2 linked regions of the Cricetulus griseus genome follow. The protein of the gene in region 2 interacts with the protein of the main gene of each other region in a pairwise test. Links are inferred from orthologs where the notes say so. Each region holds a gene or a part of one and is shown on either strand. Other genes may lie near its edges. The genes, in order: Wbp2 and Epn2.

Evidence for each region.
Region 1: the proteins of Epn2 (region 2) and Wbp2 interact in binary tests that used the Homo sapiens proteins (3 or more experiments, as listed by UniProt). The link is inferred for Cricetulus griseus from reciprocal best matches to the Homo sapiens genes EPN2 and WBP2.

Annotation. Positions count from the first base shown.
Region 1 is NC_048600.1:128,670,092-128,674,484, reverse strand, and holds the start of Wbp2 (WW domain-binding protein 2), read left to right. Parts: upstream 1-1,413; 5' UTR 1,414-1,512; coding exon 1,513-1,571; intron 1,572-4,393. UniProt on the Homo sapiens protein: Acts as a transcriptional coactivator of estrogen and progesterone receptors (ESR1 and PGR) upon hormone activation. In presence of estrogen, binds to ESR1-responsive promoters. Synergizes with YAP1 to enhance PGR activity.
Region 2 is NC_048600.1:75,553,835-75,557,647, reverse strand, and holds part of Epn2 (epsin-2), read left to right. Parts: intron 1-2,242; 5' UTR 2,243-2,407; coding exon 2,408-3,002; intron 3,003-3,813. UniProt on the Homo sapiens protein: Plays a role in the formation of clathrin-coated invaginations and endocytosis.

The sequences.
Region 1 (4,393 bases), about 53 Mb from region 2:
GACTTACTTTATGGGACCAGAAAGGTGGCTCAGCAGCCAAGATAACTTGTCCTTGCAAAAGACACGAATTTGGTTGCCAGCACCCATACAAACAGTTTATAACCATCTGGATCTGCAGCTCCAAGAGATGTGACACCCTCCTGTGTCCTCCTGCGGCTCCTGTACACACTGTAGTACACATGCATGCATGCAGACAACCCGTTACATACATAAAGTGGAAATAAACATTTTTAAAATGTGTTTTCATTAGTTTTTAATGATGTGTATGTGTGCACATCTATGATATATATATATATATGATGCATGAGAAGGCCAGAGACGTCAGCGCCTGACCTCAGTGCTGGAAAGCAATCTCGGGACCCCTCCTTCTCAGCTGCTGAGCCATCTATTCACACACACGCACACGCACACACACGCACACGCACACACGCTACACCACCACCACTTTTTTTTTTTAAAGACAGCGTCTTACAATAGCTGAGGCTGGACTGGAAATCCTTATGCAACCCAAGCTGACCTCCAATTTGCCGCAGCTTCCTGCCTCAGCCTCCCAAATGCTGGGATGTGAACCGCTATGCTGTCTGCTTGGGACCAAACCCTGATCCCCCAGATCTAGGGATAGTGAGGACGTCCCGCAGTCCTTCCCGGCCCGCGAAAGAGCCACCTCAGATGGAGTTCAGATTCTCTGCAACGTAGTGGACAGACACCCACGCCTGGGTCTTCAAAGTCCTGCTGTTTAGACTAGCGAGCTAGACTGAGAGGGCGCAGCGCCATCGTGAGGCCAGAGGGTGCAGGGGGCGGCGCAGGGAGCCGCGCAGGGGGCGGTGCAGGGGGGCGGTTCAGGGGACCGGTGCAGGGGTGGCCGGTGCAGGGGGCGGGGAGGACGGTGGGGAGGACGGTGGGGAGCCGATCACTCTCCCCAGAAGTTCACACTGTCCGACTCGCGGGGTCACGGTTGGAGGTGATTAAAGCGTATTTTGCTGGGACTGTTCCAGTCCACCTTAGACAGGGCTACGTCTCGCACAGCCAAGAGTATGGGCGAGGACGAAGGCGGCTCATTAAGTGGTTTAAAGGTGGCACACACCAAGTCACCACGTTTAAGTTACATCTCTCCAATTGAGTTTGCTTAACACGAGGAGGCCGGTTTGGGAGACGCGTACAGATGTTTAAGACTTTGTAAATAACCTAGCAAGCCTGTCCTAGAGTTAAAAAAAAGACTACAAGTCCCAGAATTCAACCACCACTCAACGCAAGGAGAGGTCGCGGTTGAGGGAACCATCGCCTGCTGGGAATTGTAGTCCGCGGCTTGTTTGTGATGCAGGTGCGACTTGGGGGAGGGGGAGCGGGAGTAAACTCTCGCCACGTGACATCGGAGGTCAGGTGGTTGGTCAGCCTGCGCGCAGGAGCGATGATTGGCTGGCTGTAATACGAACGACGCCACTGGAGGCGGGCCGAAGACCGGCGCAGGCGCAGAGCGCTGCGAGTCTCGGGACCCCAGTGGGAGGAGAGACTATGGCGCTCAACAAGAATCACTCGGAGGGTGGCGGAGTGATCGTCAACAACACTGAGAGGTGAGGACGCGGCGGAAGGATCCTGGAGGCTGGGGGCGGAGGCGGGCGCCGTGTGGTGGGCGGTGGGGTGCGGTGAGGAGGGGCGGTGGTGGAGCGCTGGGGGAGGGGGCGGTAACGGCCGGGGGCGGGGCTGGAGGGCGTGGGTGGGGCGTGGGTGAGGGGGGGGAGCCGGGGGAGCCGGGGGAGCCGGGGGAGCCGGGGAGCCGGGGAGCCGGGGGGAGCCGGGGGGGGGGGGGAGCCGGGGCGGCGGGGACGTGGGTCCTGAGTGAGGCCAGCGAGCCCCCTCCCAAATGGAGTCCGAGAATAATTGCTCTGTGTTGGGCGTTTACTACGTGGTTGCTACGCGGCAGGAGGCGCGGCGTGGGTCGGTTCTGCCTCAGATAACAGCTAATCTTGTGCGGCAGAAACTATCCCACACGGTTTACCGGTAGGGCAAGCGAGGCTCACACAGGGCGAATAACCTGGCTTAGGGCTGTGAGTGACCGATGGGACCTGAGGCAAGAGTCTTGACCGCAAAGCCAACAGTTGCTTAACCACTCCTGTCCAGTCTCCTCGTATATTCCAGAACTTCTCAGGTTCCAAGAGAAAGGCTGAGGCCCTAGAGGTGGAACTGAGGGGCTGTCATCTGCTCACCCAGTGCCTGGCGCCCGCGGGCCTTGTAAAGGCGTCTCCCTTGTGTCGCTCGCTCGCTCGCTCGCTCGCTCGCTCCCCTGGTTCTCTTGGATTCCTGAGGGCTTAAGTCGCTCGCCAGAGTAGAAGTCTCTCAACTGCAAGATTCTTTTTTCTCTACCCCTCACTGCACCATCCACTCTTCCTCTCCAACTTTTGGGCCCTCTCTGTCGCTTCTCTTTTCCTTTCTTGCTCGGACATTGGAAATCAGACTCTCTTGACCTGAGCTATGCAAGCTTGAATGTCTTCTTGAAGGCCAAGGGAGGCGTGGTCGAAGTCAAAGCCATCTTGGGACCTGTCACTTGAGAATGTTTGATGAGTCAGAAGAGAAGGTGTGGGGTGACACAGACTGGAAATGCTGATTTTGTCTCCATAGTTCTTGGCAGGTTCTGGCCAGCCCAGCAAGTTTTTTTTTTTTTTTTTTTTTTTTTTTTTTTGGTTTTTCGAGACAGGGTTTCTCTGTGGCTTTGGAGCCTGTCCTGAAACTAGCTCTTGTAGAACCAGGCTGGTCTCGAACTCACAGAGATCCGCCTGCCTCTGCCTCCCCAGTGCTGGGATTAAAGGTGTGCGCCACCAACGCCCAGCTGATCACTTCTTTATTATTATTATTTTTTAATTCTTAGTTTTTCGAGACAGTTTCTCTGTGTAGCTTTGGAGCCTGTCCTGGAACTCACTTTGTAGACCAGGCTGGTCTGGAACTCACATAGTTCCTCCTGCCTGCCTCTGCCTCCCCAGTGCTGGGATTAAAGGCGTGCACCACCACCGTCCAGCTGGTGATCACTTCTTTAACCTGAGCTGGCCTCTTTTATTGTGTTCTAAGTCCTCTATTACCTTTGCACCAAGAAAGGGTATTTGGGATGAGGAGGAGACATAAGAATTTGGACCCTTATGTCATGTAATCTGAGAAACCTTATTCTCTGGTGTACTTAGTCCAGTACCTTGGCTGGTCAAGTACTTTGATGCCATTCAGTGGTGTCCCCACCACTACCCCTCTCTCTGGTTTTCAGTCTATGGTTTCCATCCAGATTGGCCTTGAACCTGAGGCAATCCGACCTCTGGCTTTTGAGAGCAGGGAAATCAGAGATGTACCACCACAACCAGAGCTGTTTAGCTTCATCGTTTGAGAGTGGTTTTCCTTCACTTACTCTGGCTTTTATGTAGAAGATTTCTGCCCTCCTGGGCTCAGCACCTGGCTCATTGCTACCAAATAGGGTCCTGGGAAGAACTTCAGCCTCACTTCTGAAACATGTGTCAGTAATAATTGAAATGTAAGTGCAGTGCTCAAACTTATGATATTTAAACTAGTGAACAAGCTGGGCATTGGTGACCACACCTTTAATCCCAGCACTCAGGAGGCAGAGGCAGGCGGATCTCTGTGAGTTTGAGGCCAGCCTGGTCTCCAGAGCGAGTGCCAGGATAGGCTCCAAAGCTACACAGAGAAACCCTGTCTCGAAAAACCAAAAAAAAAAAAAAAAAAACAAAAACAACCCCCCCCAAAACTAGTGAACATTAACCTTTAATTCACAAACCACTGTTAGAGATAAAGGCTGTGAACTCTTCCCAGAAAACCGAGCACACAAGTACACACACACACACACACACACACACACACGCACGCACGCACGCACGCACACATACAGACACACACATGCATATACACACATCTCAAGGGCTTTATCCACAGACATTTTCTACAGCTCCAGCTAAAGAAGCTTGGATTAAAAAAAAAAAAACACACACACATAGAAACAACAACAACAACAACAAAAATATGATCTCCCAGAGGGCCCATTTAGTTCCCCGTATCAATGTCAGGCGGCTCACAACCACCTGTGTCTCCAGCTTCAGAGGATCCAATGAAACTATAGAATCATGTCTTTGACTCTATACTTTTATTATTTACTTATTTATTAGCTGTGTGTGTGTTGCTGGGGAAGAACTCAGAACTGTGACCATGCTAGGCAAATACTACTGTGCTGCATCCCCAAGTCCCATTAGACTCATGTTTATATATTAGGGTTTTGTTTGTTTTTGTTGTTTGTTTATTGTTGTTGTTTTGGTATTTTTGAGACAGGCTTTCTCAGTGTAGCTCTGGCTGTCCTGGAACTCACTCTGTAGACCAGGCTATCTTCACAGAGATCCACCTGCCTCTG
Region 2 (3,813 bases):
ATGTGGTGCTGGGAATTGAACTTGGGACCTCTGGAAGAGCAGCTAGTGCTCTTAACTGCTGAACCATCTCTCCAGCTATTTACTGTTTTTGAGATAGGGGCTCACTATGTAGTTTTGGCTGACCTAGAACTCACTCTGTAGACCAGTCTGGCCTGTATCAGAAATCTGCCTGCCTTTGCATCCCAAGTGTTGGGATTAAAGGTATATGCCAATATTGCCTCTGTTTTGCCTACATTTGTACACACACACACACACACACACACACACACACACACACACACACTCTCTCTCTCTCTCTCTCTCTCTCTCTCTCTCTCTCTCTCTCTCTCTCTCTCTCTCTCTCTCTCTCTCTCTCAGGCACACACCTGAAGAGACTAGAAGAGACCTTTAGGTTTCCTGGGTTGTCATATGGGTCCTGGGAATTAAACCTGGGTCCTTTAAGTGAAGGCCAGGCATATTTGCCCAGTCCCAAATCAAGTGACATATCCCAGAGCCCTGGGCATTTGGTGGATCTGAACAGGATTACTGACTTTGACACATCTGGTTAAGCTGGGAAATAAATGCCCACTGAAAATCAAAGGTCTCTTTTTTTCATTTTGTGTGAGGCCTATCCCCTCTCCTGCAATGAATATCACATTGTGAATGAAAAACTTAATTAAATTAGATGTATAGTCACTCTGATCTTATAGTCACAGAGATTTTATCTCTGTCTTCTGACAGGTTTGGGGGATTCAGGAAAGCTGACCAGATGGGTAGAGATGTAGAACATGCCACCCGTTAGAAAGAGCACATGCAGACTCCTCAGCATATATGAGTGAGCAGAGAAGGCACCTGAAGCTTAATGTCCCGTCTCCTCCTTGCCCCGTGTGGGTGCATATGATGATTGACCATTGTATGTTTCCGTTTTGTTTGCTTATTTTTGATGCACCCATTGCCTGTTTGAATTTCTTGGAGAAGGAAGGTAGGGCTGTCTGGTGCTTCTCTGACAGAAACCTCAGCAATCCAGGGAGAGGAAGGTCCACTGCAGATGCCAGGTTCTGGGCTGCATGAGGATATATAGGGAGGTGGGTCTCAGACTGTTAACAGTAGCCAGCCAACTATAAGACTCCATAGCTCATGTTTTACATCTGTAATGGAAGAACCATTTGTACTGTCACAGGATAGACAAAGGCCACAGGGACTGAGTGAGTATAGCAGGGCTTGCTAGAGACCTAGCTTTCTCTTCAGTTTTCAGTTGTCCTGAGAATCTTCTGGGTTTCCGTTTCTTTATTTCACAAATGGAGAAATTATCTCCTGCTGAATTGTGGCTTTGAGGATGGGAATACTGTTTCTAAGTGTAGTATCATTCATTCATTCAGGTGTTTATTCCATGTTGGGTACAGTGCTAGTTGCTGGGTATTCACTGTGGATGGGATAGATGTTGGTTACCATACTGTAGGACCAGAGCCCCATGTTGGAGATGTGGATCTTGCTCCAGCTCTTTCTCACCTGGAGGAAGGAGATGGGTGCACTTGGAGCCTGTGACTATAGCTCTGGGTCTCTCTCTGCTTCTCTGTGAGAGAAAGAGGGGTTAGGCTTTAATCCTAGTCACATGAAAGCTGGGGTAGGTAGAACAATGGGAAGTGGAGGTGGTGGTATAGGTTGTTAGCCTTGCTCTAGAGGAGCAGTCAGGACTTCACTGATCCACATTCAGGGAGGGTCACAGAGAAATGGCCCTTAAGGAGAATTTTTCAGGCAGTTAGGGTCTTGTGAGCCAAAACCCAATTTTAAAGGCATGGACAGGCACTTTAATGTTCATTTAATTCCTGAAATGAAACTTTCTTGCCCCCCACATGTAAAACTCTCAGGACTGGACAGGAATACATCTCAGTGGTGAGGTTTATGTGGCCCAGAGTTCAGTACCCAGCACCAAAGGTTAAAATACATTTATCAGGATGTCTCCTTCAGCCCTGCTCTTCCTACATTTGGCTTTTGGTTTTAGTGACCATGTAGTCTGCAAGCTACCCACCCCTGGGAAAGCCTTAGGAGATGAAACATTGGTCATGATGTTTGCTTAAGGTTTAAACTTGTTTTATGGTTTATTCTTCAGCAAGTGACATTTGCGATCTGACCTTAGTTTTAAATGCAGGATGGCTGTATTGCATCCATGGAACTGGGGTGTGTTCTCTCACACAGCTTATATTGGGCTTTCCCTCCTCACCAGTGCTCTTACCAAAGCAACACGTCTTCTTTTTCTTTCCAGGACATGGCTTCCAGCTTCTGGGACTTGAGGCTTTGCAGGAGGAAATGACTGTTGAGCATCTTTTTGTCCCATCTGCATTACCTGCACTGAAACTTTCTAGAGTGCAGGCTTAGGGGACAGGAAAGTTTCTCTTGAAGGGCTTTACATGTCTAACAAACAATAAAAATGACGACTTCATCTATCAGACGGCAGATGAAAAACATTGTGAACAATTACTCAGAGGCCGAAATCAAAGTTCGGGAAGCCACCTCCAATGACCCGTGGGGCCCGTCCAGTTCTCTGATGACCGAGATTGCTGACCTGACCTACAATGTAGTGGCCTTCTCAGAGATCATGAGCATGGTTTGGAAGCGGCTTAATGACCATGGCAAGAACTGGCGGCACGTGTACAAGGCATTGACACTGCTGGACTACCTTATCAAAACGGGTTCTGAGCGTGTGGCCCAGCAGTGCCGTGAGAACATCTTTGCCATTCAGACTCTGAAGGACTTCCAGTACATTGACCGCGATGGCAAAGACCAGGGTATCAATGTTCGAGAGAAATCAAAGCAGCTAGTTGCCCTTCTCAAGGATGATGAGCGGCTGAAGGCTGAGAGGGTCCAGGCTCTCAAAACCAAAGAGCGCATGGCTCAGGTGGCTACTGGCGTGGGCAGCAACCAGATCACCTTTGGCCGTGGCTCCAGCCAGCCCAACCTTTCTACCAGCTACTCGGAGCAGGAGTATGGCAAGGCCGGGGGCTCACCGGCCTCCTACCATGGCTGTGAGTAATCAAAGTACCCCACCTTTTCTCAAGCACTAAGTGGCAAGTGCTGGGGCTGAGAAAATAGTTGCTGTCACAAGGTTCCATTCTGTCCTCAGATCTCAGCTTCTGATAATCCACGTGATAGCTTTGATCTGAATTGAGTAAGTCACAGGGGGGCTTTTGGTACTCAGGCTGCTCTGTGGGTCTAGGCAAGGTTGTGCCCATGCTTCTTAGGTTCTTGGGAGAAAGTGGACTCTAAGGCCAGTCTCACCAGATTTTTTTTTCTCTTTGAAGAATGTCTGTCAGCAAAGCAATTGTCCTGGTGCTCAAACCTGCAGGGAGCCAAATACCTGGTAGCTAGGAACAGGCTTAGGCTTGATCATCTGCTTCAGAATCTTACACTAAGTGTCTTTCTGCTGACTGAGTTGCAGGTCTCTGGAATGGTTCAGTGCTTACCATTATTGTTCATTATTCAGAGTTGGATGTTTCTGTTTTACACTCCATAGGTTAGCATCAGCAAGACCTCCTCACATATGGAAAAAGTCTTCGGGATTTGCATGGCTGAGTCTGCACTACACAGGGCTGATCTATGTTCTGATTGTATGTGATGGATCACGTTGGGTCTTTGTTCTGTATTCTGAAGAGGTTTCAGAGAGAGGAAGTGATGTTGGGGCCTTGTAGAAGCTGGTTTCTGATCCAGCTGGCCTCCTGGCCTCTGCCAGGAAGTGATCCAAGGCACAGTATTAATTCTCTGTTCTTGGGGTGGGTAGCCCTGAGGACCCTGAACTCAAGAGAGAAAGGTGGCTCTGGTAGCCCTTGGGTGCATAAG